4 linked regions of the Diceros bicornis minor genome follow. The protein of the gene in region 1 purifies or fractionates together with the protein of each later gene. This does not show direct contact. Links are inferred from orthologs where the notes say so. Each region holds a gene or a part of one and is shown in the gene's direction. Other genes may lie near its edges.

Evidence for each region.
Region 2: the proteins of HNRNPA1 (region 1) and KHDRBS1 purify together in Homo sapiens (co-immunoprecipitation; 4 studies listed by BioGRID and IntAct, with this or other methods). This does not show direct contact. The link is inferred for Diceros bicornis minor from reciprocal best matches to the Homo sapiens genes HNRNPA1 and KHDRBS1.
Region 3: the proteins of HNRNPA1 (region 1) and DHX36 purify together in Homo sapiens (affinity purification with mass spectrometry; 3 studies listed by BioGRID and IntAct, with this or other methods). This does not show direct contact. The link is inferred for Diceros bicornis minor from reciprocal best matches to the Homo sapiens genes HNRNPA1 and DHX36.
Region 4: the proteins of HNRNPA1 (region 1) and HNRNPUL2 purify together in Homo sapiens (affinity purification with mass spectrometry; 3 studies listed by BioGRID and IntAct, with this or other methods). This does not show direct contact. The link is inferred for Diceros bicornis minor from reciprocal best matches to the Homo sapiens genes HNRNPA1 and HNRNPUL2.

What each region holds. Positions count from the first base shown.
Region 1 is NC_080756.1:16,116,096-16,123,610, reverse strand, and holds the start of HNRNPA1 (heterogeneous nuclear ribonucleoprotein A1), read left to right. Parts: upstream 1-4,514; 5' UTR 4,515-4,606; coding exon 4,607-4,621; intron 4,622-5,176; coding exon 5,177-5,293; intron 5,294-5,590; coding exon 5,591-5,737; intron 5,738-5,886; coding exon 5,887-6,097; intron 6,098-6,194; coding exon 6,195-6,287; intron 6,288-6,373; coding exon 6,374-6,466; intron 6,467-6,760; coding exon 6,761-6,835; intron 6,836-7,036; coding exon 7,037-7,195; intron 7,196-7,515. UniProt on the Homo sapiens protein: Involved in the packaging of pre-mRNA into hnRNP particles, transport of poly(A) mRNA from the nucleus to the cytoplasm and modulation of splice site selection.
Region 2 is NC_080752.1:46,852,060-46,859,541, forward strand, and holds the start of KHDRBS1 (KH domain-containing, RNA-binding, signal transduction-associated protein 1), read left to right. Parts: upstream 1-4,469; 5' UTR 4,470-4,727; coding exon 4,728-5,109; intron 5,110-7,482. UniProt on the Homo sapiens protein: Recruited and tyrosine phosphorylated by several receptor systems, for example the T-cell, leptin and insulin receptors. Once phosphorylated, functions as an adapter protein in signal transduction cascades by binding to SH2 and SH3 domain-containing proteins.
Region 3 is NC_080741.1:1,290,925-1,298,878, forward strand, and holds the start of DHX36 (ATP-dependent DNA/RNA helicase DHX36), read left to right. Parts: upstream 1-4,946; 5' UTR 4,947-4,986; coding exon 4,987-5,196; intron 5,197-7,954.
Region 4 is NC_080770.1:10,398,204-10,406,159, forward strand, and holds the start of HNRNPUL2 (heterogeneous nuclear ribonucleoprotein U-like protein 2), read left to right. Parts: upstream 1-4,955; 5' UTR 4,956-5,252; coding exon 5,253-5,793; intron 5,794-7,730; coding exon 7,731-7,866; intron 7,867-7,956. Other genes in the region: TTC9C (tetratricopeptide repeat protein 9C), read right to left, coding at 3,280-3,517.

The sequences.
Region 1 (7,515 bases):
CTTGGACTCCGCACAAGCCAGCTCTTCTCAGGATGACCTGGACTCCTTCCCATTAGTACAATGATCAGCTAAAGCCATCCTCCATAAGGAGAGAAGGAAAATCAAGGTTTATGTCAGGGAAAAAAGATAACTGCCCAGAGTCGAAGTTCATGAATAACAATGTGTTAAGGGCAGCCATACTGAGTGAGTTATCAGTGATAGCTTGCACTGTAATTTATTACATTTAAAATCAATATCCACAGCACAGAGCTTTAGGCCCAATTTCATGTAAGGTGAATGGAAATAAAAATAGACCAAGTAAAAGAACAAAAAAAAGAAAGAAATGCTTTACCAGGGGTTGTTAAATGGGCTATTCCAATAAGATATGTAAATCATACTATGTGGTTAAATAAATACCTCAATAAAAAGCAAAACTACTCGTCTTCATCAGAAACCTATGTACCCTGGGTACCTTCCTCTCTTTTCTAGAGCTACTGTCAAAGGCTCTGAAAATCACCAGAACTTTCCTAGACATATAAAAATCCAGTCACTTCAGAGGTATGTTTTTTCTTTCTCTTTCCCCAATCATCATCCTGGTCACCTACAACCCAGATAAAAGTTTCCTATTTATTGGTTTTCAGACAGACCAGTGAAGATGTATTATTTTCCCTTTTAGTGAACAATGTCCTTTTTTGGTTTGGTTGCAATCTTATGCCTCTAAGTTATAAGCACAAGTGCTCAAAATTTAATTTTTCTAACAAGGACTCAACATTTTGTCTTGTTAACGGAGTGGTACAAGTTAACAACCAAACCTGTCTTCAAAGGCAAGAAATAAAAGTCTAAAGTTAGGATTTTCAATGTGATAATCTCAGAATATCAATGAAAAATCACCCACTAAAATTTCCCCACCAGGGAGAAATGTTCATCAGACCTATTAGCTATGACACTGCAAGAGAATTCACAATAAAACAATCTTTACTTGTACAGCACAGTAAACCAAGAAGTCTATGTTCAAATCCTGAAATCTTTCAAATTAAAGTATACATTAAAAATATCAAAAAGGGGTCATTGATTAATTTGTTTATAAATCCAAGTTGCTGGGGCTAGAGCTGAGAAGAATTGACTCACAGAGACATCTAAGATGGCATGATTTGGTTACCTATTCTTCAGATTGCTTGTTTTTCTTTTTTCCCCAAACTGTGGGTCTGTACACAGCTGTGAAATCATTTCAGCAGAAACTGATCTATGTTTTTAAGAAAATGAAATAGTGTCCTATAGATGAGGAAATACCAGAGTGCTTTGCACATTTATATTTATATACATATTTGTATAGTGTATACATTGTTTCAATGTGAGTACAGGTTCAGTATAAAATGTGTATTTCTTGCTGAGGGTCAAGGTCAAAAAAGTTTGAGACACTGATCCAAACGAATTCCAGTAAAGGAAAGAGACTTAAATCAGGTGAAAACGTAAGAAGCATCAGAAGCAAAGTCTACCTTCTTCAAAAACATATTTGCCATTCATTATTTTAGGAAGCCAAATGAACACAAGATGCAATCATGTTTAAATTGCAAGGAATGGTAAAAATCTTGATGAAATTTTCCTTTTATCCAATGAAACAATTATCACTGTATAGCCGAAGAGATAATCATTAGGATTTAGTGATCCATTAACCATAGGCCAATTCCTAAAAACATAAACACTTCAACCATCTTCTTCCTCTAATTTCTAATTAGTAAAATAAAAGATTTTGATGAGATAACCAACTCTAGTATCTGTCATTTTAGATCAATGGTTTTCAACTGGGGGAGATTTTGCACACACCCCACGCACCCACTCCAGGACATCTGGCAATGTCTGAAGACATTCTGATTGTCATAAATCAGGGTGTGGAGAGGTGAGATGCATTTATCCAGCTCAAGACATCAATAGTGATGAGGTTGATAAACCTTGTCGTACATCAAGATTGTATTCCTTTCAAACCTAAGGGACAAATAGCCTTAACTTGTGTCTCTTCAGTTCTTATAAGCTAAGCAGCTGCATTATTAGCATACCTACAAATAGTTTATAACCAAATATGAAATAGGTCCTTTGCAAGTGCCAGAGAACGTGGAAATCTCTCCTCTGTTCATTACAAGCTCAACTAAGATCATCTTTCTTTTGTACAATGTCAGAAAACTCTAAGCATAAGTGTGCTCCATATGTAGTTGAACTTATTACAGTATTTAAATTTTTCTCCTTTGACCCTAAATAAATCAACGAACAATGGAGCAGTACAGACTCTAATACAGCCAATATGTAATAAAAATTTTTATATTTTACGAAAACATCTTGGAATAAGCAGAATGGACATTACCAACAGGAGATGGACTGCATGTAAAATAAACACTGAAGGAAATACAATCAAAAGGCAATAAATAATCCAGGTGATAAATGAGACCTCCTGTTCCCAACACCCTAAATGTCATCACTCTCCTTAAGCAACTTCCTTCTTATCCAAATTCAGACATCCTCAAAGGAGCAGCAGAAAGAAGGGCTTAGAGAATCTTTAACGATGCAAAGAAAGAGACATAAGGGGGGAAAAGTTCCTCACAGGCTAAGATAAAGGCAGTGGGGACAAGGAAAATGCTTGTAAAGTGCTGAGCATGATGCCTAGCAGGTACTAAGCACTCAAAAAAAAGTTACCTTTTTAAATTTATATTTTTATACCGAGAATCACCTTAGTTCTTAAAGGGAAAAACAGCTCTCTTTCGAGGTGTAAGGAGAAAATGGGTGACGAGAAGTACGTGATTATGACTGGAAACACAAAAACTGACCTTTTAACTTAACTTTAGTCTCAAAGTATTATCCCTGCGAGGATTTAAGCATTATAGATCCCACCTGCCTCGATCCCATTTTATGCCTAGAGGTAACACACTCTGGCATGTAGCTTTCCAAAACTTTTTCTACGGATTTACAAACATCGATTTGTCCGTGGAAATATGCATTATTATGATGCAGAATTTCTTCGGGCGCCTTTCCACGAGAATACATAAAGATTTATCCTCTTCATTTTAACATTTCAAGTCAGTCTTCCTAGAGAAGCGAGTTCCTAAAGTCAAAAAACCTCCCTTGCTCTCCCTAAAACCTATGAAGTGGTGGACGGCGGGATGCACCGATGTGGGGAAAAAAATGCCGAAATCGAGACACACGGGAACAAACTTAGAGCTTCCGGACCAGGGAGGTTTGGGGATGGAGGCCCATGGGCTTTGTTAGAGAGAAGTCATTGTGGATGAAATACCTACCCCGACGCGCCATCACGGGCATTGAATCCCCTCCCCACTACCCCAAATCTAAGACCTCCCTCTTCTGGAGCGCTCATTGGACGACCTGCGCGAGCGCCTTCCGGAGGCTGACCGCCTACTGGCTCCAGAACCGGTCCATCCATTTACCCGCCCGACTCCCGCGTTCCCCATTGGAGTCACACGGCGGCCTCTCGGAGGAGCCCAACCTACCGCGCGCTGCGTGCTCATTGGCTCGGAGACACGCTGCTCAGGAGGGGAAAACCCGCCTCCCACATTCCGATGGCCCAAGGACCGCGCAGTCGGCGGCTACAGGCAGACCCAATTGGTCTATACACTCGCCAGTCAAACGCCTCGGATGCAAAGCTCCACAGAACCTATGCGGCTAAAACATCCCGCCCCTCTTCTTCCATTGGCTGGCCGGACCCACCGCTCCCCTTTCACTGGCCCCCACCCTACAGTCCATTCATTTCACACAATAACGGGCCCAACTGGAGTCGGTTCAAGACCTCGTATGGGTAGGCAAGGCTGTCAGCCACTTACCCGGGATGGAGACCGATCACTCACGCTAACGTCTTCCCCGTTCCTCTATGGTGAGGCCGGACCACAAGCCACTGCTGCCGCCGCCTTCTGCGCAACGCCAACCGCCCGCCAAAACGGATCCTTCCCTGCGCCTGCGCGACCAATCCTGGAACCGGACCCTTTCTCCGCCCATTACGCCTGCGCAAAACGGAGCACAACTCCCGCCACTACGCAGGCGCTGTAGGTCCGCCGCTGTCTCCCGCCCGCCATTTCACGTGTTCCAAGCGCCAGGGGGAACTTCTTAATGCGCCTGCGTAAACTCGCCATTTTACTACACATGCGCTCAGCAGGCGATCTTTGCAAAAGAAAAAAAATTATCACATGCTAACTACTTTTCCAATACATAGTATTAATCATACATTGCTCCGTGGGTTGACTATAATATCCGGGGCGTGGAGGATTAAAGTTATTTACATAGCTTACGTGTATTAAAATATGAATGATTGATTGGCTAGCCAATCAGTCTGGTTAAGAATAATATTAGTCGGGAACCAATGGCCCCCAAGGGGTGGAGACTGCGTAGAACGCCCAAACGGATGACGTTATACAGCAGTGCGGCACCACAGACCAATAGTAGGGGGAAGCTGTTTCAAATAACCAATCAGAGCTACGCAGGGGCGGAGTCTACCAATGCCGACACCGAGGAGGCGGGATAAAAAAGCGAGGCCGAAGGTAGGCTGGCAGATACGTTTAGTAGGTTACTCCTTTCTGCTTGTGGACGCCGCTGAGGAAGCATCGTTAAGGTCTCCCGTCCCACTGTAGTCATGTCTAAGTCAGAGGTGAGTAAGACGCTCTCTCCAACTTCAGTCTCTTCCTCGCCCTCCCCTGAGTTCGGTAGGACGCGGCCTGGTTTGGCTGCTTGTACCAGCCCATTCGGTAGTTCTTCGATCGCTGCCAGGGCCTACTCCTCCCAAAGTTCAGGTCGCCATTTTGTCCTCGTCGTCGCCATGAGGCCGTCGTCTTGCAACCCTTAGCTACCACGCCGGGCTCGTTCTTCCTGGCAAAACTCTTCGGCACATTCGATCTATTTTTTCCCCTTGTCTCGGTGGGCGAGTTTCTTGAGGAGCAGCTACAGTCCCGTACTGGCACGTACCAAGCCCGCCGGGTCCTTTTGTTGCGCGTGCGTCGGAAGGAGAGTGGCGACGCATGCGCTCGCGGCTCCCCAGCCCTCCCAGCCCCGAACATAACGCCTCCCCTGATGGGGGGAAGCACGTGGCCTGCTGCGGCCCCAGGGAACAATAAGTGCTTCGTAGGTTGCTGTCTAGTTATGCTTCTCTCAAGTGGAAGGTGTTTCGCACTATAGCCCAGTTAACGCTTTTTTCCCCTGCTCCTAGTCTCCTAAAGAGCCCGAACAGCTGCGGAAGCTCTTCATCGGAGGTTTGAGCTTTGAAACAACCGACGAGAGTCTCAGGAGCCATTTTGAGCAATGGGGAACGCTCACGGACTGTGTGGTAAGACTTGGAAGAGGCAAAAGGCGATAGAACCAGTTGATTTTCTTGGCTTATCTTGCTATGGTTCCTGTCCGACTGCTTGTGAAGATTGTTGACAGGATTCGAGTTAGAAACAGCTTGGCAAGGGAAGGTGGGGCTTTGTTAAATTGTTTAAAAGCTCCTTTTCAATGGATTTACCCGAGGTGGGTAGTGGGAAACTGAAGAGCTTTGCATAGAGCCTCCTATTAACCTTACTCAAGCTAGAAATGACTGTAGGTTTTGGAGTCTTACTGTGTATTAAATCAATTGACATCTCAGGTAATGCGAGATCCCAACACCAAGCGCTCCAGAGGCTTTGGCTTTGTCACGTACGCCACTGTGGAGGAGGTGGATGCAGCCATGAACGCAAGGCCGCACAAGGTGGATGGGAGAGTTGTGGAACCAAAGAGGGCAGTCTCAAGAGAAGTAAGTGATATTTTTTTCCTTCCATTAGTCATTTAGAAGTGTGCCACTAGGTAGACGTCACATTTGTGGGTGTTACAGGGTTTTTAACATTCTTGATTTTGGGCTAGATTTCGCCAAAATAAACAACTTAATGGGGTTTTTCCTGTTAGGATTCTCAAAGACCTGGTGCCCACTTAACTGTGAAAAAGATATTTGTTGGTGGCATTAAAGAAGACACTGAAGAACATCACCTAAGAGATTATTTTGAACAGTATGGGAAAATTGAAGTGATTGAAATCATGACTGACAGAGGCAGTGGCAAGAAGAGAGGCTTTGCTTTTGTAACTTTTGATGACCATGACTCTGTAGACAAGATTGTCAGTAAGTATCAGACGATGGGCACTTGCTAAGGGTTCTGAAGTCCATGTTGTATTCCAAACGGTGAGATCATGTTCTCTTTATCTTTGACATTTTTTAGTTCAGAAATACCATACTGTGAATGGCCACAACTGTGAAGTACGGAAAGCCCTATCTAAGCAGGAGATGGCTAGTGCTTCATCCAGCCAAAGAGGTGGGTTTTTTGCTTAATTAAACCTTAAAGATCACTTTGAATAATTCCAACCTGCGTGGTTTAACACTTAAAACTTCTCTCTCAAGGTCGAAGTGGTTCTGGAAACTTTGGTGGTGGTCGTGGAGGTGGTTTTGGTGGGAATGACAACTTTGGTCGTGGAGGAAACTTCAGTGGTCGAGGTATGTATTGTTAATGGTTTACTACTAAGAATTAACAGTAAGCTTGTGATTTAATTACCCCCAGGTAACTTGTCCTTTTTGCAACCTGTGGTAGATGTAACTACTAGCCCACGTTTTCAAAGTTAGATTTTATCCAAATGTAGTTCTGGCTTCGTAACAAGAAGTTAAAATTCTTGGTATGGAAATCATTTTTGCAGTACAGGAACTGCTTCCTAAAACTTAAGACTTAGAAGAGTGTGATTTGTATGCAATCCGTAAACGTCAAACCTGGTTTAAAACACTGCTTTATTCCAGGTGGCTTTGGCGGCAGCCGTGGTGGTGGTGGATATGGTGGCAGTGGGGATGGCTATAATGGATTTGGTAATGATGGTAAGTTTTCTCAAGGAATACACAGGTGGAAAATATTTTGACAACCTTTAGAATAGGTTAGTAGAGACTAAAATTTTAGTGCATGACAAGCTCAGCTCTGACCATAACAGCATGCTGTGAGCAGGCTTTTAGCCATTACGCTTGCACAGGTTTTGATTGTTGAATACTTTTGTCTTATTGAGAAGAATTGTATTCTTGTAGGTGGTTATGGAGGAGGCGGCCCTGGTTACTCTGGAGGAAGCAGAGGCTATGGAAGTGGTGGACAGGGTTATGGAAACCAGGGCAGTGGCTATGGCGGGAGTGGCAGCTATGACAGCTATAACAACGGAGGAGGCGGAGGCGGCTTTGGCGGTGGTAGTGGTAGGTATCCAGTGATCCAAGTACTTGGTGCAGTAGCTAGATTAGCCTCTTGGAGTTGATGCTCATGTGGGGATTTGGTGCTCTTAAAGCATTAACGTGGTACGCTGCATGGTATTCTTTTTTAATGGGCTTGCTAATGCTACCTCCTCCTAGCTTTAAGCTGGGGCCGCCTCACTCCCAAATAGATGGGTAAGTGGATAGTGGTGTCTTGAATTGGAATTAGATTAGCTTCTAGCAGGATTTAGTTAGTATTTTAATTCCTTTGGGACCTTAGGCACTTAGTTGATGTATCCAGCCTGAGTTTGCAATGTCCCTGAACG
Region 2 (7,482 bases), on another chromosome or scaffold:
GGGTCCAGAAAGGGGAGCTTCTCCCAAGCCCCGAGTTTCATTAAGTCATCTGGGCCCTGACACAGCACTGCTAGTGGCTGCAGTTTGGGTTCTACTGGGGACACGTTGAGTTTGAGGGGCCTCTGAGACATCCAAATGGGGATGTCAGGGATACAGTTGGCTATCTGGATTTGGAACTCGGGAGTTTGGGCTAGAGATCTAAATTCTAGAGCCATGAACACGGAGGAGGAAGTATAGGCATGGGACCAAGCTTTGCTGAACTCCTAACATTTAAATGCCCTGCCCCCACTCCACCTAGCAACTTCCCAAAGATCTAACTTCCCTAATTCCTGTCCGCAGTTGCTCTGTCACTCCTTCCTGTGCATTCCCACAGCTCTCTGTATAGTCCCCTATTATAACACTTTTCATACTACATCATAACTCTAGGTTTACATATTTGTCTCCTTCACTAAACAGTGAGCTCCTTCAAAGCAGAGACTCTAATATTCAATGTTGACTCTCATGCCATTTCATCTACCACACTGGTGAAGACTAAAAAGATGGGAAGACGGTACCCAAAATTGATTGAGGAGGTGGGAGAAGAGGATGCTGTCTACCCTGCTGCTTGGCACAGTCTTTTTGTGCTACTTCTAGGAATTATCCTATAGATATATTGATATTAGTGCACAAAGATATTCTCTACAGTGATGCTCATTGCAGTATGATTTGCAATACTAAAAAGCTGGAATCGACCTACATTTCTTTCAGAAGGGAACTGGTTAAGAAGTACTCAATGGAATATTATGCAACCATTAAAAATGAAGTAGGTTTCTATACAGTGACAAGGAAAGGCAACCAGAATATTTCATTTAAAAACTGTTCGTATAGAACACTCCAGTTTGTGCTTAAAGCAAAAAATATAGACTTGCATATAGATGTATTAAAATGTCTGGAAAGCTACACAAGCAACCACTGAATAGTGGGTATCTTTGGAGAAGGGCAGTCAGGTGAACGGGCAGGTTTGGGGAGGAATTTTACTTTTCACTTTACAAGCCTATCTTATGGTTGGATTTTTCTTAAAACTAGAAGTGTATATATATATATATATATATATTGTGTGTGTGTGTGTGTGTGTGTGTGTGTGTGTCCGTGTCTGTGTGAGGAAGATTAGCCATCTTCCTCTACTTTATATGGGACGCCGCCACACCATGGCTCGATAAGCGGTGCGTCAGTCTGCGCCCAGGATCCGAACCCACAAACCCTGCACCGCCAAAGTAGAGCTCGAGAACTTAACCACTATGCCACCCAGCCAGCCCCTAGAAGTATATGGTTTTGCAACAAAAAAAAAACCTTAGAAAAAATTGTAAAATGTTTAATCTTGGTCTCCCTGTCTCCTTCTCTATCCTCCACATGTTTGGCACCAAGTAAGTGTTTAAGATTGAACAGATGAACTACACTCTTGGAAGAGAAACTCCTGTCCAGGGCTGGAGCCCTTCTCCCAGGAACTGGCTGCAAAGCAGGAGACATAGGCAGGGCCTGCAGATCCTCCACTGGTGGAGATCACACAGGTCCAGCAGCAACAGGCAAATTTTGAGTATTCTCAGCCCGTCAGTTAGAGACTCACATGAAAGTGCAAGTCTGCAATAGGGTACTCAATAAATCTGTGTGTAGCAAGAATAACAATGGCCGCTATCGTTTATCAAGTACCCACTAACTGCCAGCCTCTGTGCTGAGTGCTTTACAGACACTATCTCTTTTAATCCTAACAGCCCTGAGCTAGGTATTGTTATGACTTCTGTTTTATCAAGGAGGAGGAAGCAGAGGCTGAGCACGGTTAAGCAATGTGCTCAATCACTCAGCAGGTAAGAGGTCTAAGAGCCAGCTTCGGACCTCACTCCATCTAAATCACTATGCTCTCAATTGCTCTTGCATCCTACACCATAGTAACTAAACTATGAGAGGAAATAGGGTAGAAGAAACTTAGTCTTTTCGGAACCTCCCCCCTCCAAAACAAAGTCAAGCTATAGTCAGTGAAAATGAGACAGATTAGAGAGCAGGCCTTGCAGATCCACACCCAACATGAAGCAACCAAAAATCTTCATTAGGCATAACTAAATGGCACAATAATAATGATTACTTCTGCTTATAAGCCCAATTGTGAGGAGGTTTACACTGGTCTTTGTCAATGTTCACAACAATTCTGCAAGGTAGATGTCAGTACGTCCACTATAAAGGCTCAGGTTGTGGTTTTCCCAATGACATACAGCAAGGACAAGGCACTGATGAATTTGAATTTGTCTGCCTCACTCCAAAGTCAGAGTCATTTCACAAGGCCATGCTGTTAATACCTTCAGGTGAACCTGGAGCAGCATACCATGGTCAACACAAAATGAACTCTACACTTTCAAGGTGGGAATTACTCTTCCCTGCCCCCGGGAAGGGCCCCCACAATGGAAAGCTGCTGCATTACTGACTTGGTAAATACATCGCAGCCTCAGCAACCCATCACCTGCCTCAGAGATTACCTTTTGTGTATCTCACCAAGAAGAAGAGCTCAAAGCTCCCCTTGACCCCACCCTCAGAGAAACTAAGCAAAAGGTTTGACAGCCATCTGGAAAGACTGCTGATTTTAGTCTAGATACCCACAGATACCACTACCCAGCTCCTTCTCAGACACTTCTTCATCAAAGTTTTATTAGCCTCAGCTCAAGGTACCTCCATCTGGGCATCTCATTACAGAGCAAGGACACTTCAGCCATTTGTAACACCACCACCCAAGCAGGATTTTCAAGGATAGCAGCAGAAATGAGTTGCAACGGAGCTATAAATCCTCCTTGCCCCCTTTCCCCTCCTCCATGCATTTGCTCTATCCACCCACCTATTTCTTCACAGTCCACAACTGGATTACGACTCCCATTCCTTACCCACGTCTCTGCTCATTTATTCACACTTCCCTTCTGCTGGAACTCATTCTCCCCTGGCCGAAATCTATCTTCCGCTTTGAGCTGCAATCGCACTTAATATTCACTTATCTTTTGGCATTTGTCACATTACATTTTTCATTCCAATTATTCAAAAACATTCTTTTTTTTTTCTCCTACTTGACTATAAACTACCTATGTGATCTTAAACTACAGTACTGCACCACACACTGGAAATACATATGTATAATACATGTGTGATAACTGATGGAGATACTTGTGTTTTGTTCTCATTTCTGTGGATGATTTCTCTCCCCCGTCCCCAAGAAGGTAGCCAGGCCTTAATGTTCTCTAGTTGAAGGCTTCTAAGTTTCAGATCCAAATATCAACAGTTTCCAGGCACCCAGAGGACAATTTCCAGAAATGCTTTTGAAAAGCCTGGGCTTATTAGAGGAACTGATCCAGAAGGAAAAGGGATGGGAGTGAGTGCTTTGAATGGGGGAAGCAAAAATCTGTGGAGGGAAGGAAGGGTTAGAGAAGGCACCAGCTCTCTTGAGCCTTTATGGGACAGTAGAGACGTAAGCTCCTTTTGCATATAGCACTCGAGGGATGAGGAGAATGCTGTGGGAGACTGTCCGCTATATACCTTGGCCTTTAGAGCAGTAGTAAGGGTCTGTCTCTTTGAGCAAGTCTGGAACGATCCATTGTGAAGGCCCAACAAAGGCAGGATTAGCACTCACATCCGTATAAAGAGCCACCCTAATGATGCAACCATCAGGGATTAAGGACCTGGTCTCTACCCCACTTTTTTGCGGAAGAAACACAAGTCAGCAGAAAGCAGTACTATACGTAAAGAGCTAAAATGCTTCATCTTTTAAGACTTCTCTGACCAACAATGGCAAATGTTTTAGAGCCTTTTATACTGGAAACCATAGGATACGACTTCTTGGGTTCCCTGCTTTGGTCTGGTGCCCTTTGCTAGATTTCAGGTCTCCTACCTGAACCTTACCTCTTAGTTCAAGTCCTGCAATAGCCTTCGGTCTTCCCACTGACCCGTCCTTCCTCACTTGCTCCTCCAAGCTTCCTTTCCCCATCTCCACCCCTCATCCCTGCGTCAGACTCTCCCTTAGTCGTCCCCTTTTCACTCCTAGTCTCCCCTGCGCCCTGTCTGTTCCTCTCCTCCTGCCTAGACGGCCTCAATTTTCTCTCCTTCCCAGGCGGGTCTCCTTTCATTTCCATACTTTAGAGACCGCCCCCCTCGCCCGACCCCCCCACCCCCCATCCCCCCATCCCCCCACTGAGCACAGCCCGGCTCGGCGGCTCAGCCGTTGGAGGGGGCGCGGCCCCGCGAGTAACAGGTCTCCCCCCCCACACTCTGCGGGCTCGCGCGCAGACAAAGACATTCCACAGCCCCCGCCCCTCCGCGCACTCGGCCAGAAGGGGGAGGAGACACGTGTCCCGCTAGCGCCGAGTCACGTGGAAAAGAAAACGAACGAAGCCCGCGGCCACCCGCGCACGCGCACAGAGCTCTGGCCTGGCGGGCTCGGAGGAAAAAGGGGAGCGGGGAGGCGACTTCTTCGGGCTCCGCGGCGGTGCGCAAGCGCTGTGGCCCGACCGGGGACTTTGTTCTCCGCGGAGAGACCCAAGGGCGGTGCCGGCGGCTGGCTGCGCACGCGCGCCGCCTCATTTCCGGTGCTCTCTTTCGCTGGGTCGGTCGGGTCGCCTTCGGTCGCCGTCGCTCCCGCTCTCCCACCCCCGCCAACCGCCGCTCGGGCCTCCGCCGCTGCCGCGTCGCTTCCTCGATCCCTCGATCGCACATCCTCCCCAATGCAGCGCCGGGACGACCCCGCCGCGCGCATGAGCCGGTCCTCGGGCCGCAGCGGCTCCATGGACCCCTCCGGTGCCCACCCCTCAGTGCGTCAGGCGCCGTCTCGGCAGCCGCCGCTGCCTCACCGGTCCCGGGGAGGCGGAGGGGGGTCCCGGGGGGGCGCCCGGGCCTCGCCCGCCACGCAGCCGCCACCGCTGCTGCCGCCCTCGGCCACGGGTCCCGACGCGACAGTGGGAGGTCCGGCGCCGACCCCGCTGCTGCCCCCCTCAGCCACTGCCTCGGTCAAGATGGAGCCGGAGAACAAGTACCTCCCCGAACTTATGGCCGAGAAGGACTCGCTGGATCCGTCCTTCACTCACGCCATGCAGTTGCTGACCGCAGGTGAGCCGGCCTCCCGGGTCCCTCTGGGTCGCCAGGCCACCCGGGGGCACGGGTGGCAGCGGCTTTGTTCCGCTCGCATCCCTCCCCCTCGGGACCAAGGCAGGCGTGAACTCCCCTTCTTCTCTCATCCTCATTCTGGGGAGCCTGGATTCCACATTCCCGTCCCGGCCCAGGGTGCGAGGGGGAGTTTCTAGGCTGCAGAGGAGGCCCGAAGGGGACTTGGCGATCTCAAAGATCTGGATGGATAGTGCTGAGCTCCCCGCCCCCTTGCCGACCCTTCCCCCTCCCACCTCTCGCAGCTGCCCCGCGCTCCTGGTGCTCAGATGCTTCCAGAAATGAGCCTTTATCACCCCCTTCCCCCCAAAGGGAAAGCTTTTTTGATCTCGGGTGGCGGAAGGCGCCCCGAGTGAGGGTGTAGGAGGTGAAGACAGCCCGAGTGAGGAGGGACGGTGGGTGGGAAAGCCGAGGTGAGGCGAGGTGAGGCTGAAGTGCCCTGTCCAGCGCGCCGCGGTCGCAGGGGCGGGTCGGACTTAGCGGTAATTGACGCTTAAGTTGCTTGGAGGCAGGAGCAACCTGTGGGAATTGGAGCTTGATGTTTTCCGAATCAGATTTCCGACTTAGGCGGATAAAATGATAATTGCTACAGAGCCGGAAGTTTGGATCACTTTATTTTACAACGTGTGTTCATCATTCAAGAAGGGGAAAAATAACCCTAGAGACAGTGAAATCGGATGGTTAGAGGGAGGTAAAGGGTGGTTTGCATTTGTATTTCCGGTGAGGTGGACAGAAATTGAAAGAAGTTGCACGATGCTTCTACCTGAAAGGCTTGGTGTTTTTAGTTTTTTTCTTTTGGCTTCGGGAGTGAAATAGATTAGGAATAGTAGTCTTTGTTCTCTGTCTGTGGGCTAGCGCTCCTTTCCTGCTCAGCACTGGCCAATCACCTAGTCGCTCTGATTTCTCCGTAAAGCCGCCTGTTTTCCTCGCACTTTTAGTTAAAACGTTTTAATAAGTATTTGTTATGATACCTAAATTTTATTAAGCAAGTAAAAATTCACAACTCTCAACACTGAATGAGTAGTTGAACTCTTTGGCAAGGTTGATATAATGGACAGATGGTTATGAAAATATCGTTTCCCTCTCTTTGTTCTCTAGCCCCCAACATTGGTAAAGGGTCTTTACTTTTAAACACAATAAACAAAGCACGCAGTGGTCAAGAATAAGAATATTTAGATAAACTGCTTACATTTTCAACTCAGGGTTTTGCTGTTCTGTAACACAGATTGTTTGAAACATTAGTGTTCATTGTGTTCTTCTGGCAAGCTCTTTGAGGGCAAGGATTGCCTTTTATCTTGGTATTTTTCTTATTGCCTTGAATATAGCAAACACCAGGTGTTTGAATCTGAAAGCAAATACATGCAGATTTAGGAATGTCAGACTAAATGGTAAAGATCGATTCGGTAGTCTAATTTTTATTTCCTCAAATCTTTAATCAGTCCAGATTAAAAGAATGAAAACAGAATAACACACCTTTGAACTTTAAGATGTCAGCTTGGGTTTTGAAATTCTGACCATTAACTAGTTACTTACTCTTAGGAAACTCTGAACCTCAGTAACCTCATCTGTAAAGTGGGATGGTGAGTTGTGAGGATTAAATGATGTTTAAAAGCACCAGCACAGTTCTCTTTGGCCTTTTGACCTATTGTCAATAGATAATAACTTGTCACCACAGTTTTCTTCTAGTTGTAAATCCCTGGTTCTGAAAAAGGTATGAAAACACAAGATATTTTTTGCCTTTCTGACCACATCAAGTGCCCAATGTGGTGTTTGTCTTTTAAGTAAAACATGGTTTCTTAGGATAACCATCAAAAACTATTGATCCTTAAAAGTTACTTATAATTCTCACGCTTCTCTCACTGCTTAACTTCTGTTACGAGAGAGTGCTGTTTAATTTTTTTAACTTGGGCTTTTTTGATGTCTTTTTTTTTAACCAAACTGAAATTTTAATTGGAGAAATGGGATTAAGGTAATGCTGGCTTATTGAGAGAACAGATTTGGAGTGTATGGATACTTCTTAGCATGGATAAGTCATGACATATATTGGACCTAGCTTTTAAGGTATTTTTGAATGATCTGGAGAAGGGGTTGCAGTGGAGTCAACCAACTGTGCGGAAGTGAGACTCTGAGAAGACAGAATAGTGGTATCTAAGCTCTGATAAGGATACATGTAATAACAATATAGCTAACATTTATTGTGCCAGGCACTGGTCTGAGCACTTTACATCAAATATTTAGTCTTCATGACAATACTATGAAGAAGTTATCTTATCCTCACTTTTACGGATGAAGAAACCAAGGCACACAGAGATTAAATAA
Region 3 (7,954 bases), on another chromosome or scaffold:
AATAAATTACACATTTCTTAACTGTCCACCTATGGAGCCTGTAACTTGAGAAAAAATTACCTGTAGCATCTACTTTCTGTTAATACTCTGGAATATCACAATGTTTCTAAAGTCTTCCATGTACTGCAGAGGCTAGAAATCTGAAAACTATACTTCCCACTCTCTCTTGCCAGCAAGGTTCAGGTTTAGCATCTGCCCATGAGATGTGCAAGGCACAGCTGAAAAGAAGCATTATGCTCATCTGTATTGAGCTGGCAGAAGGATAAAGGGCATGGAGGATCCCGCACCTGTGTTCTTAGCGGGCCTGGCGTGGAAGAACAGCACCTCAGTCACTGCAGCCTCCACTACACTGGACGCATCTCAGTACACAGCCAACTGAACTGCAGAGGCGGCTAAGAAACACATCTATCTGTGTGCACAGGAAGAAGAAATTCAGATTTGGTGAACAGCTAGCGATCCAGTCTCTGCCACATGCTATGATCCCACTAGACAATCATACACCATACCATAACAGAACGGGAATAGTGGCCCCTCCCTGGTGTCATAAGATGCTGAGACAGAGGTGCTGTGTACAATAAGCCAATGGTGGTACATGTTCCCAACGGTGGTACATGTTCCCAAGTTTGAGTTACTTGATCTTGACTCTAAATTCGGGACATCAACACCCTAGTACAGACCAAACTGCCCCAAACCTAGGTCAATGTGTTTATATGATCTCTTCTCCAGATTAAGATACAAAGAAAATCATATTTGTATGTCTTCCCTTTAGTCTTGAGATCTCAACCTTAAAATGCATAAAGAACACACATACACAAACATTCACATATACAAAAACACATATTCTTCTTAATAGCAGCAATTTGCTGACACTGGGCAATCAAAATCCAAATATAAAACCACCATGGATGATGATCTTTTGCAACACTCTGCAGAACAATTTAGATTCCTGGAGCCACATTGTCCTGAAACACTTTATTACAAAGGAGCGTCTTTCTACTTTACATATGCATAGTCCCACTCAGTAATTTTCCAGGAAAAAGAAAAAAAAAATGCCTCAGAGGTAAATTTTAGTCTCCACCACTTAGCAGAAATACAACTCCCAGAAACTTTAAAATGTCAGGGTCAAAACATTAGGGTTTAGAGAAATCCAGTCACCCTATATAGTGTAGACACATATCTACATGCTAACAGAAGCCTTGAGACCTATTTTCATTATCTTTTTTTAATTTAGAAAAAATGTAGAGATTAAAATTAAAAAATTTTTTCTTAGTATTCATTCATATTTTTTCTTAAGTTCCAAGATTGTGTACTTAAATGGAGTAGAAAAAAATCCACTACTTTAATGAGACTATAGTTTTCAAGGGAAAGTATGTTACGGAAGTCACTCAAGGTCTTTAACACGGATCCTGGAATCCTTTGACCTCACTAACAATTTTTTTTTTCCTTTTCATGAGAAACAGATGGAATTATCAGATAGTGGCAACTGTTCATAGTTAGGATAACACGACGTCTGGTTTGTTAACTAAAGTTCTGTTTTAACTAAATCTGACTATAAGAGCTTCAGTCAACAAGAGTCATCCTCTACAAATTCATTTTCAGTGTAACTAAAACTTCCCAATTTGAGTTCCAAATTTTGTGACAAGAAACTCTACTGAGTTATTTAATAAGTTCTTCCATATTCTTCCTGATATAAGAGAAAAACATTTCCTCCATTTTCCCTCCTTTCCCACCCCCACACAGCCAGATCTTTCAATTCTACAGACCTCTAGGATTACTTTTATCAGCACACCCCCACTCCCCACCCCAAGAGGCAGTACGTCAATTAAGGGTTCCATTTTCCAAGGGCAACACTAAAAAAAAACTCCTCACCCAGGTCTTCATGAATATCAGACCCATGAAAAATTATGCAAGTTGTTTCACAGGGTGAGGGTAAAGAAGACGGAGAACAGGGATTCCCTGAGACTGGGAAAACAGTGGTAGTTTCCAGTGTGTGGCCTTGTGTGGCTCGCCCTTGCTGCATCCAGAGGCGGCTGGACTGGGAGGTGGTGCCTGTAGGTCTGCGAGCAGCAGTCCTGGGTTCTGTGGCCCAGCCACCATCAGTGCAGAGGACATTCGAGGGAGCCATCTTTCAGCCCGCCCAGAGCACAGCACAGGCGGAGCACCGGTGACAGTCACAACGAGCCAGCACTCCCTTTGCTTCCTGGCACTAGGTAACCTAAGAATCCTTGAGGGTCCAATCAAGGCAGGAAAAAAGTCCAAGTCACAACTGACGCTTTTCTTCCCATTAACGTCCTTCTCGTCTTTCCTACTAAATCTCCCCTTCGTGCAGGTTTCTACTACATGGACATTTACTCTGAAGTGTCTGCCTAAAGCAACAGCCTCAAGCAATAATGTACTACTTCCTGCTGAACATGTCAGCAAGAATTAGTCACTTAAACTCGTAACTAAGATTCTATTCAGGATCGACAAACCTGAGGTGAAGAGAAATAACACAACTTATCAGAAAATAGAACACCCCTCTCTCGGCTATTGAGAGGACTGTGTGAAATACGCAACGTCCTTACTCTCCTGCTGCTGCCACAATGAATGACTGCACACTCAGTCTTCACTGGCACAAGTTCACCACCTTCTGTTACCTCTGTCGCAGGGAAGCTGCGACAGAGTTCCTGCCTGGAGCTGGGGGGGGGGGCTCCGCTTCCTCTTTCAGTCTCAGAGGCTGCTGCACTCCGTAGCTGTGGCCCCTTCCTCCACCTTCAGAGCCAGCGACAGCCGAGGCCTCCCATGGCGTCACCGTGAACTCTCTGCGCCTCCCTCTGCCACTCTGAAGGACCCGTCATTACAGCAGCTCACCCAGGTAATCCAGGACATCTCCGCTCCACGACCAGCTGACCAGCAACCTTCACTTCCCTGGCACTGGAACACAGCATCCTCTCAGGCTCCGGGTATCAGCATGCGGGCATCTCTGGGGTCACTGCTCTGCTGACCACAAACATGCACCAGCCAGTCACGACCCAGCGGGTACTAAGTGACAGATAAATGCCCGTCCTCTTCCCCTACGCCCTGACGTGGTCTGCTGGGGCGCCGTAACTAACGCCGCAGGTGCAGGCCGGGTGGCTTCCACAACAGAACTCATTTCTCAGCTCTGCTGGCGGGGCAGTGCAAGCTCAGGGCGCCCGCGCTGCAGCTCCTGGTGGGAGCCCCGTCCTGGCTCATAGACCGCCTGTCTGTCCTCACACGGCCTTTCTTCTGAGGAGAGCCAGCGCGCTCTCGGGGTCTTTCTTACCAGGACACCAATCCGACCAGATCAGGGCCCCACTTGACGACCAACTTGCCTACCTTCTCAGAGGCCCACCTCCAACCCAGCACCCTGGGGGCCAGGGCTTCAGCGCAGGAACTGTGGGGGACACGTCCAGGCCACAGCACTGGCTCACTAACGACCCACACTGCCTCCACACACCCACCGTCTCACCTACCGAACAGGTCACACACTTGTCCCACCAGTGTGCCCAATGGGCACGTCTAATGGGACACGGGTACCAACGGGCACAACGAATGGGCGCATTTACCGCAATGCTCATTCCGATGGTCTTAATACTCGCCTCCAACTCCACAAAGGTGTAACGTCTGCCCTTTCTGTGCTGCTAACTCGTCCGAGCGGCCGCTCTCTCGTGTCTCCTAAGCTCCCAGTATCAACTCACTCCCCACGCACTAACTAGACACCCCGCCAACCCTCCCCACCACAACCCCCTCAGCCCACGCCCCTCGACTCCGGGGGCGCTACCTGCTCACTGACCCCCTCCTCTCTCCACGTCCCACCTCACAGCCGCAGCTCCCACTCTCCGACCCCAGGCCCCCCCACGCCCCGTGTGGCCTCCCCACCTCACCGCCCGTTCACCCGCCTGTCTACACCCGCTTCCGCCTCCTGCACCGCTCTGTCCTCGAAGCAGCCACGGCCCCCCGGCCCCCCGAGTAACCGCCGTCCTCTACGGGCGTGTCGGGTCCTGGCCGGCCAGGCCCCGTCCCGCCTCGGTCTCGGGGAGTCCCCTCACTCTCCGCACCCTCTGCCCCTCCTCCCGATGACCTCTGCCCTCCCCGAGCTCACTGCCGACCCCGCCGTCCCTCAGGACGCCCTCAGCCCACCCAGGTAACCTGTCTGGGGGGAGAGGCTCCCCGACCCTCCCGGGCTCGCTCTCGGGGCTGCAGGGCAGACGACGCACGGGCCTCGTGCGTGGGTCTCAGGGAAACCCACGGGGGGGCGCGGAGCCGCTGCCCGCGGCGGCGGGAGGAGACTCGGCCACCAGCGGCGCCCGCGGGGACGCGGTCCCGGTCTGCAGGGCCGGCCCACCCCGCGGCTCCGCGCGGGGGCACTGGGCACAGCCGCGTCCTCGGGGCTCCGCTCGGAACCCCGCCACAGAGGGCGCCGGGCCCGTGCGCCCCTCTCCGCCGCCCCTCCTCGGGACGGGTCGCAGGGAGCCGCGCCCGCGTCCTGGTCACCGTCCCGCCGGGCGTCCCGGCGCCTCCACGGCCGAGCGGGAGGGCGGCGCCGGTCCGCCTCCCTCACACTCCGCGGCGCCGCGCCGCGCACGGGGAGCGGCGGCCACTCTCGCGGCGGCGCCGCCACAGAAGTCGCGTCTCCGGGACGCACGCGCTCCGCCGAGCCGGCCGGCAGCGAGCTCGATTTCACCACAAAAGCCCGACGGAAGCCCACCCACTTCCTCACACGCCGGGCGCGGGCCAGGCCCACCCGGCGCGGACGCACGACGCACGCACGGCGGCGGCCCGCGCGGCGCGTCACACAGCCTCGCGCGGGCCGCCCTTCGACCCCGCGGCCGGCGCCGTGACGTCACCGGAAGCGCCGACCAGGGGCGCTCAACGGCCCGCCTCGCGCCGGCGCCGGAAGCGAGGCGGAAGCGGCCTGCACCCGCTTCCGGGCCGGTCGCCATTTCCAGCGGCGGCCGGGGCTCGCGGGCTGGGTCCGCCGGGACGATGAGCTACGACTGCCCCCAGGGCTGGGGCCGCGATGGCGGGCCCCGCAGCTCCGGCGGCGGCCGCGGGGGGAGCCGAGGCCCCGGCGGCGGCGGCGGCGGCGGCCGGGGCGGGCGAGGCCGACACCCCGGGCACCTGAAGGGCCGCGAGATCGGGTTGTGGTACGCGCGGAAGCAGGGCCAGAAGAACCGGGACGCCGAGAGGCAGGAGGTGACGGCGGTTGGCCGGGCGGGCGGCCCCCTCCCCGCGGCCGCGGGGCGGAGGTCTGTGCGGGACGGCGGCTGTCGGGGCTCGCCCGCGGTGCGCCGAGCGGGGCCGCCGCCTCGTGCGGAAGGGCAGTCCTGCTCTCGCCCTCACTGTTGAAACAGCCAGACCGGGGTTTCTGCTTGACGTCGGGCTGGGGTTTTTGCTGTTGGCAGCCGCTCCCTGAGAAGGCAGCGGGGCCCCGGGGGTGGGAGGACTGTGGAGAGGGTGCGTCTTAGGCTCTTCTCCCGGGGCTGGACGCTGTCCGCCTGGCTGGCGTCTCGGGGATGTGCAGTAAAAGGAACGTGCAGGCTCCCGAGTGGCCTGTCCTAGTGAGAAGTCGTGGTTAACAGAAGCCCTCCTCATGCAGGCCTTGGGCCGTGTTCCTGGAGACTGCTGCCCAAGCGCCCTTCGTGCCGCATGGAGTGTAACCGCCGCTCGGGCTTCTGTGTTGAAGTCGTTCTTTCTTTTAGTCCTGTCATTTTCATTGAAGTGTTTTTGGGCATTATCTGTCTATCTTAGCAACTCTTTAAAAAGAAAGCGTATTTCTATGATAGCCCAAAATTCATCTGTTCGGTGAGCAGGCTGGTTCTTGACAAAGTCCAGGGAAGCGGCGGTAAGACGTCGTGAGGCTGGAAGAATCGTCGAGCGCTTACTGTAGAGGGACCTGCCCAGTACCTTCTATGCACTCTCAGTCACGTCTTGTTTACCCGCGTGTCGCGCGAGGTTTGATGCATGTTGCTACGGGGATCTAAGGAAATAATGACGTTCAAGGAGCTTACAGACTAATTGGGAAAAGATGAAAAGATAATTCAGAACTTGTTCGTTATTTTGAGTTGAAGCCGGTTGTGTGATGGGTTATCGTGAATGGATGTCTTGATTTCCGCCCCTCCCCAAACCCTCTCCATTTTAGTAAATGTCACTACCATTTATCCACTTGCCCAGGGCAAAATGGGTTTATCTTTGATTCTCCTCTTTCATTTCAGCAAATCTGTCTGCTCTGCCTCCCTAATACATCCAAAATCCAACCCTTCCTCCCTACAGCAGTTACCGTAGACGCGGCCGCTGCCTTGTTTCTGTTTGTCCACTGTAACTGGTCTTCTAGCTTCCCCTCCTACTCCCCATGGGTCTGTCCTTTGTGGAGCCACTCTGGTGGTCTTTGAAACAAAAAAAATTAGATCATCTCATTCTCTAGCTCTCAACTTGAGACTGGAAGCCAGGTCACTTCTCAGTCGAATGCATTTGAGTTGCATCCTAGCCTGTTTTCCAGGAATATGGTTATCCAGCTTCAATGACCTTTCTGAGCCATGTCCTCAGTCTGCTGTAATTATAGCTTTTGTAAACAAACTTTTATTTTTGCTTTTTGTTACAGTTCTCGTACTGTTCTACTCTAAAATGTGTCTTTCTATCTTCTCTACCTAAATATGAGTGTTTTTCAATAATTGGCCCACCCTCCCTTTCTTTTACCACCTTCAGCTGTATGTGATCGCTTCCCACTCAGAATTCCCATAGCTTTTACTTTGTAAGTAATCCCTGTGTTTACAAAGTGAATGCATTCTATGATGCACTTTTTCTTTCAATAGATATTTACTAAGGGTCTAATATATTTGAGGACGGTATCTTAGGCACTACCTTACAGAGACTGTGGTGTGTTAGGGGCTGTGGAATACAGTGTTAAACATTACAAAGGAGAATGTGGGCTATCCTCTTAACTCAAACGAGGACAATTCTCGATTTTTCAGAGGAAATAACCCTTAAGCTGAAATTTGAAAGATGGCAAAGTGTGTCTGGTTTTGAGATTTGGGGACTTGGAAAGGGATTTTCAGGCAGAGGCAGCAGCGTGTGCCACAAGCTAGAGGTGAAAAAGACCATGTTCAGGGAACTGAAGGAGCAAGAGCACGGCTGTGGAGTGTGGTGAGAAGAGGGCAGGTCAGTGGCTCTCACACTTGTGGGCCACTTCCCACAAAAAGGAATATATTTTAATTTGCAGCCCAGTAGATGCATGTGTGTAGCTGAACAAGTTTTGTAAAATGATAATTACCTGTACTTTACTGTGGGTTGTTGTTGTTGTTTGTACCTTTCTGCTCTCTTTTGTATTAATATTGGTCATAATCCGTTAATGTAATTTTACACACAGCAATTTGAAAAGCCCTGGGCTAGGAAAGTAAGCAGGGCCTTGAAATTCATTGACTTTTCCCTAAGAACTCCTGCAAGCCATACAGCATTTGAAGCAAAAAATTAAATGACTGGATTTGTGTTTAAATTTACTCTGTAGGGAATGGATTGAAAAGAGGCAATCCTGAGACAGGGAGACCAGTGAAGGAGCCCTTGCAGTAATTAAGATGAGGAATGATGGCTTGAATTAGGACATTGGCAGTGGAGATGGAGGGAAGTGGACAGATTAAAGTGATTGAGGAGATAGACTCAAAATGGTTTTATCTGGTGGGAAGGGGAAAGCAAGTGTTAATGAATGACACTTTTATGACTATATGTGGAACAGCCTTGATGGAGGAAGGGGATGGACTCAGCTTAAGGACACTGTGAGTTTGATATTGTTATAAGGCATAGAAGAGGGGATTTCTAGGAGGTAGAAGTCCATGTGGATCTGATGCCTAGAGAAATCTAGGCTGCAGGTGAACTTGTGACAGTTTGTGGGCCTGTGGACAGTAGTTGGAGTGTGGAAGTGAGCAGTGAGAGGAGGAGTGGGTACAGGCCTCAATTCCAC
Region 4 (7,956 bases), on another chromosome or scaffold:
TCTTCTAGGCACTGAGGATACAGCAGTGAACAAAAGCTTTACATACCTTACAATCTACTTCAATATCTGCCAAATGCTTACTATGTACCTAGTGAGGGGTTAGGCCCGGCTATAAGACGGATAAAAATGTACTTTAAAATTCTTCATTGTGTCTCTTCTAGCCAAGGCATCTCCCATTTCACCACAATTCCTGTACCACAGCTTTGTTTTTTTTTTTTTGTGAGGAGATCAGCCCTGTGCTAACATCTGCCAATCCGCCTTTTTTTTTTTTTTTTTTTTTTGCTGAGGAAGACTGGCTCTGGGCTAACATCCATGCCCATCTACCTCCACTTTACATGGGACGCCGCCACAGCATGGCTTGCCAAGCAGTGCGTCAGTGCGCGCCCGGGATCCAAACCAGCGAACCCTGGGCCGCCTCAGTGCAGCGCGCGCACTTAACTGCTTGCGCCACCGGGCCGGCCCCCAACAGCTTTGTTAACAACGGTTTGTATGAGGAAGTAGCAAGCACTGTGCTATGTGCTTAACAAACATTATCTCATTTAATCTTCTCATTTACCCTATGAAACTGGTAAGTGTTACTATCTCCATTTAACGGATGAAGAAATCAAGCCTCAGAGAGATAAAGTAACTTGTCCAAGATCTCACAGCTTCTAGGTGGAATGAGTAAGAAATATGAAACAAGGCCTCTCTAATTCCAAAATCATCATCATTCTCAAAGATGATATATTACTTCACTATTCCCTTGGATTATTTCATGGGACCTCAAAATACAAATCTGATGAGGAGGCAATGTTCAACGTTTCTACAGTTAAGAAGAGAAATGTGTTCCTTATTTCATGACTGTGGGAATTTTTTTTTTTTAAAGATTTTATTTTTTTATTTTTTCCCCCCAAAGCCCCAGTAGATAGTTGTATGTCATAGTTGCACAGCCTTCTAGTTGCTGTATGTGGGATGCAGCCTCAGCATGGCCGGAGAAGTGGTGCGTCAGTGCGCGCCCGGGATCCAAACCCGGGCCGCCAGCAGCGGAGCGCGTGCACTTAACCGCTAAGCCACAGGGCCGGCCCTGACTGTGGGAATTAAACGTATCATTAAATCGTGGTGCTGAGAAGGAATAACAATCAGGGCTGATGAGGACATCAGAGGGCCTGGGCTGATGTCTGCATCTCTTCTACAACATCACCACCAAGTGGTCACACGGTTTATACTTAAGATAGTTCCCCAGTGGTCAACTAACCCCTCACCGTAGCTTTATTCATTCATTCGACAACTAGTTATGGAGCACTGACCATGTGCCAGGCAGAGCTGGGAGCAGGGGATGAGAGGAATAGGACAGATGTCTTGATGAGTGCAGCTTGCATCCTAGTCCCCACGTAGGGAACACACAACAAACAAATAAATGAACTTTTTACAGTGCTTTGAGGAAAACAGAACTGTGTTGGGATCAAGAGTGAATGAATTCTGAGTGATACTTGATTACAGAAGGCCTAAGAAAGTGACTTTTGAGCCAAGATCTGAAATGACCAGGGTCACTCAAGGGACAGGGCATTCTAACCCAAGAGAAGAGATCCTACAAAGCTAGAAGGTAGAAACATGCTTTGTGAATTCAGTATATGGAAGAGCCAGATCATGTCAGGTTATGCAGGTGAGAGTCAGAGTTTGGATTTTTTCCTAAGTGTAATGAGATGCCACTGGAGGGTTTTAGGCAGTGACAGGATCTGATTTTTGTCTGTAAAATGGGGATTATCATAACCACCTTGAAGAATTTTTGTGAGGATGAGAGATCATGTAAATAAACTGCTCAACATGTTACAGGCACTCAAGGAGTGAAAACTGTTAATTCAGTGAGTCTTCACGGAGCATCTCCCAAGCACTCCCAAGCAGAGGCTCTACAGATGGCTAAGCCACAGTCTCTGCCTTCAAGTCCACCTGGAGAGTCAAGATATTTACAAGTACCCATTTCCAGATCATCTTATTTCCTTAATTTCCGGTCAATTCCCTACTATGTATTCTATTCTCTAATAATGTACAGTATTTGGCAATAAGAACTTAAGCTCTGGAGTTAAGAATTGCCCTGGTTTTCAATTTTAGCTCCACCACTTACTAGCTGTTTAACTGTTTCCTTAAATTTACCTCAAAGGAATGCTGTGACACTTAAATATGTTAATACGTGTAAAGGGCTTAAACAGTGCTTGCCCATGGCATTTCATAAGTGTCACCTCAATGAGCCCTCCCTGACCACTCTCTTTATAATTTTATTTATTTATTTTTCCCCCAAAGCCCCAGTAGATAGTTGTATGTCATAGTTGCACATCCTTCTAGTTGCTGTATGTGGGACGCGGCCTCAGCATGGCCGGAGAAGCGGTGCATCGGTGCACGCCCGGGATCGGAACCCGGGCCGCCAGCAGCCGCCAGTAGCGGAGCGCTAGCACTTAACCGCTAAGCCATGGAGCCGGCCCTATGATTACTATTATTGTTACTTGAGTCCAAAAGTAGCACTGGACACACACTGTAAAAAAGCTAGATTTTCACCAAATCATAGCTGACGAATACCGCAGTAAAAAAAAAAAATCCTTTTAAACAACCATTACAAAGTGTAAAAACTACTACTAATAATTTCTATGGCTGCAACTTGGACCGTTCGAATGTTTTCATATACTTGAAAACTTAATTAACTCTGTGGTTATTCTGCTTGCCATAGAACAGACCTAGGAAGTCTCCTTTCTTTAAGCAGATTAATTCTAATGATACTAACTCTTGGCATCCATCTCTTCACCCAAGGCCATCTGGAGATGGAAGATACCGGTTATCAAAGTCAACATCCCGATTTATAGGAAGGAGGAAAATGAGGAAAAGCTATCCAAAACATCTAATACAGGTGACTTACACGAGCTGAAGCAAGTGCATTCTTCCCTGTATTTTAAATATTAAAGAAACAACGCCCTATACGTAAGTTCAGTATTTTCTCTATAGCGTGCAAAATTCCCTAAAACTATCAGCATCTCCTGGGAGTCTGTTAGAAATGCAAATTGGTAGGCCCCAACCTCAGACCCATTAAATTGGACATTCTGGGGTTGAGGCTCAGGAAGTTGTGTTTAACAAACTCTCCAGGTGAAGTTTGAGGACCACTGCCCTATAGAAACTCAATTAGAGCCCTATAGCCTGGAAATATATATATATAACTAAATGACAGCAGAAAAGCACGTCAGTGGTTTTTCCACTGTTCACAGATTTTCATGTTCCTGCCTTGACACTCCACCCACCCTTCAGCCCAGTTCTTACCAGCTAGATTGTTGTAGCAGTCTGTCTGGGTGGTGTGCAGTATGTTTTCTTGTTCAGGTGTGAGAGCCGGGCCCTGAGGTCCTAGATTAGGAATCGGGGAGGGCAGACTTGGGTCCAAACCCCGCAGCTGAAGCAGAGCTCGATGATACCTACTCACAGCATCTCGGTACTTCCCTTCCCGGTAACGCTGGTTGCCTTCCTCCTTGTACAGCTGAGCCTCCTGCAGGCGCTTCTCCATAACTCTCGGTCGCCCAGTGCTCTTGCGGAATTGAGAAGGGAAAGAGCAACTGAAGCTCTGGGTATGGGAGCCAAGTAACTGATTTTGGTCGCCGATTTAAGAAGGCAAGAAATTATCCTTCTCCAGGAGGTCCCCCCAGGGAAAGAGCTTTGCTTGTTTCTATCACTGCCCCTTCCTCTCCTCTCTGCAGTATTTTTCAATCTCTGGAAGTGCAGGAAACTAATCAGGGAGAGGATGTGGGAATAGTAGAGCCAGAAATTAAGTGATTTCCTAAAGAGGCGATTCCGAAGGTGGCGAGACTCCCCGAAAAAGCAAAGGCCCTACCAACAAATTGTGGCAGGCGTGCGAACGCCGGCAGAACTGGCTTCCCCCTTTCTTTTGGACACACCTCCCTGACCTGGAAGCGCAAAGGAGTAGGCGGGGACAGCTGCTAAAAGATGTCTGGAAGGCTTTCCTCCCTCCCGACTCTTGCACTTCTTCAACAAGCATTTGTTGACGTCTGTGCCAGGAGCTAGGGAACTGAGGTGAACGCGGTCCGAGCACCCCAACCCACCGGCCGAGACTGACGCGACCACAGGGCAGCTCACTTGCAAGTCCACCAAGCCCTGCGGCCAGCCCCTCGCCCTCTGCAAATGCCCAAGCCCGGAAGTCTCTCCCCGCGCTTCGGTTCACGGGCGGGACCACCGAGAGGACCGGGTCCAGTCTCCCGACAGTTTGGTGTCTAAAGTGTCGCACGATTGCGCCACGCCGCCCAATCAGAAGCGGCCCCGGAAAAGTAATCCCGGCAGAAACTACCCCGCCTCTCCAGCCTCCCCTCTGGCCCAACCCGGAAGTAAAAAACAAAACCAGGCAGCTTCGCCAATTGGAAAAATCCAAACGATCACAGATGACCAATCAGAATTGCAGATGACGATTCAAGTTGGCCAATGAGAGAGCTACAAGGGGAGGTCAGGGCGTCTGTTGCTGGGTAGAAGTTGAGGGAAGGCGAGAGGAAAGGAGGGCCAGGGGTTACTGTATTCGTTGGTTTTGGAGAGCCCTTATGTGTGCTAACCAGAAAGACAATTGCTAGTAGGCTTTCATGTTGCAACAGTTTCCCTTCTGGCTTTTTTTTATTCTCAAGAAGCTGCTGCACGTACAGACAGAGACTAGCGAGTAAGCCCTAACACGACAGCGCAATCGGAAGGCAGACAGAAGTCAGGTGGTGACGGGGTGGGAGGGGCGTGTGGCGAGGGAGCTCCGGGCGGCTGCGCAGAGCCCACGGCTGGAAGTACGGACAGACAGGCGCGCACACGCCTCGGTGCTACGAGGCACTTGAGCCGAAGCCAGCCTTTGCCGGCTGCGGCTCCCGTGCGGCTGCGCGGTGACACGACCGGCGGCGATTGGCCCAGGGGGTGAGAGGGGGCGGGCGGTAAAGGGAGGGAAGTCCGCCATCCTCGGCGCGCGCCCGCCCGCGGCAGGGGAACCGAGGGGGCAGGAAGCGAAGCAAGTCCCCGCTGCGTTGTTTTGGACCCCCCGGGCCGAAGGGGTGAAAGGAGGGGGAGGGAGAAACAAACCTACGTAGCGGAGGCTGCGCGCGGCCCTCGCCGCCTGCGTGCGTACGTGCGTGCGCTCGCTCGCGCGGGCTCCGTGCTGGCGCGTGAGGCGGAGGCGGGCGGCGGCGGCGCCTGCGCGGTCGGGCTCGGTCGACGGTTCGCAGGGGAGGAGGCGGCGGGAGGCGGAGGAGGCGGCGGCGGCGATGGAGGTGAAGCGGCTGAAAGTGACCGAGCTGCGGTCGGAGCTGCAGCGGCGGGGCCTGGACTCGCGCGGCCTCAAGGTGGATCTGGCGCAGCGGCTGCAGGAGGCGCTGGACGCCGAGATGCTCGAGGACGAGGCCGGCGGTGGCGGGGCCGGGCCCGGCGGGGCCTGCAAGGCGGAGCCTCGGCCTGTGGCCGCGTCGGGCGGCGGCCCGGGCGGGGACGAGGAGGAGGACGAAGAGGAGGAGGAGGAAGACGAGGAGGCGCTGCTTGAGGACGAGGACGAGGAGCCACCCCCTGCCCAGGCCTCGGGCCAGCCCGAGCAGCCGCCGCCGGAGCCCCCAGAGGCGGCAGCCATGGAGGCCGCGGCCGAGCCTGATGTTTCCGAGCAGCCAGCGGAGGAGGCGACGGCCGGGTCAGGTGGGGTAAACGGTGGCGAAGAGCAGGGCACCGGCAAAGGGGAGGAAGACGAGCCGGAGGAGCGGAGCGGGGAGGAGACGCCGGGATCCGAGGCGCCTGGTGACAAGGCCGCGGAGGAGCAGGGTGAGGAGCTGCCAGCGGAGCCTGGCTCCAGCCTGCCGGGTGCGCCTCTGACCCAGCACCCAGCCCTGCATCGCGGGGTCCGATCCCTTGTTCTCGCTTGCCTGAAAGTGCAAGATTCCCGTCGCCGTTTGGTGGGACTCCCCAGGGGAGGTGGTTTTCATTCTCTACCCACGTTTCGAGGGGGTTTGGCCGCCTCCGGTGGCCCCACTCGCTGCAGGAGGGAGGTTGCTGCCTCACTTGGTTCTTTGGTGGTAGTGGATGGAAGTGAGCGGTTTTGCATGCGAACTGCTCCGTGAGCGACCTGTGGAGCAGCCTCCCGCGGTGCTGGTGATCTTTTCCTAAAGCGAGAATGCGGAGGACTTGGCGGTAATAGGGGGACAGCCAGACCGACTGCTGGAGGCTTCGGCCTTTGCGCTATCTGGCTGTTGATTTTTTCGCCATAAAAATATTAAGCAATAAACTAAGTTCGTCAAAGTTCGCTCCATCGAAAAGCACGTTGCTAGAGCTTGAGCCACGCAGGGTATCTGGAAACCTAACTTTGTTCCTGCTTTAGCAGCAGGGGACAGCCTGTGGTGTGAGGGTGTCGAGTTTAATAGTTAACTAGTGAAGAGAAAGCCTTAATCTAGTGCATTTGGAATAAGTTAACGATTCTTGGGTAGTAGGGGTTTTACCTTGTCTGTGTTTTTATGATTAAATTTTAATCTTCCCACTGAGTCGAAGAGTGAGCATATTTGTAAATTTGCGTTGCTTAGGTAGCCTTTTACATTTCAGGTCCCTGGCTTCCTGAATTGGAATGGTTGAGGTGTTGGTGGGTTCATTGAGTAACCTTCTGGAAGAGAATGTGTAGAGTCGCCTCAGGGAGTTAGTGACCTTTCTCTCTTCCTTTGAAGTGATTGGATGGTTAGAGCTGATCCATAACTATCTGTCAGAGTAGAGAGGAGAACTAGAGCTGCTTCCAAGACTATGAAGTGGGTTGCCTTAGTTCTTATAATACATTTTTTAGGCTTCTGCTTAGTGTCATCATGTAATTGGAACCCCTTCTATGACAGTCGTATGCAACTTGCAGATTGTCTGTCTTATGTCCAGAAACAAAAATCCTATTACATAACCTTTGACTTAACGTGTATCCCAAATAGTAGATAAAAAAGGTTAAGGGATAAAAGACTGCCTTAAAGAAATTACTATTAAACCTTTCTAGTGTTGCAAACCACAAAGGCTTAAGGAAAAATTTGGGGGTTTTTTTCCTCTTGTAAAGAAGGTTGCTAAATATATGACAACACTTTTCTGCCCCAATTAATGTGCATTAAAGATGCAGTATTATTTATGGGTCTCTTGTGACTTAATGGTTTACTTTTGCAACTTTCAGTAGAAATCCATGATAAAACTACAGCTCTGTATCATGCACTTGAGTCCATCTGCTATTTAAGTAAAGCTGTGGATGGCTGTGCATTTTAAAGCTGGAAAGGTAAACTATTGAAAAGAAAAACTGAGGCTTCTGTGTCATGAAGCTGTGGAACAGTGATGGAAAATACATATTAAGTGTCTAGAGCAAATCCAATCTAACAATCAAGAATCAAAATTAAATTAACCTTGAAGTTTTTTAAAGACTTAGGATATATTTTCTTATGTTATATTGGTGGGAAAATCTGCAAGTTTGACCTGATTTAAGCAGATAAATTTAGAATGCAAAAATTGTCCAATTTTTATCTACTCCTTGACTGTAATTAGTCCATAATGTTCCTTTTTTTTTGAAGTAAAATCTCAACCAGTGACAGGAAGATAATTTTTGGAAATAAAATGTTCCATGCATGCAGTAGGAATAACCTGCCTATTCTGATTAGACAGATACGCAGATGCCCTGTTAGTTTCTTTTGGTTCTGAGCTTATTCTACACTCTAGTATGAAAACTGCTGATTTTTTTTCCCTCCTTTTTGTAGGAGATGACCAAGATAGTGAAAAGTCAAAACCAGCAGGCTCAGATGGTGAGCGGCGGGGGGTAAAGAGACAGCGGGATGAGAAGGATGAACATGGCCGAGCTTACTATGAATTCCGAGAGGAGGCTTACCACAGCCGGTGAGGGAAACAGTCCCTTTCATTGAAGGGAGTGTCTGCTCTGATTTTGGTATACCTGATGTTGATTGGAGAGTCTGGAAAGATGGGTGG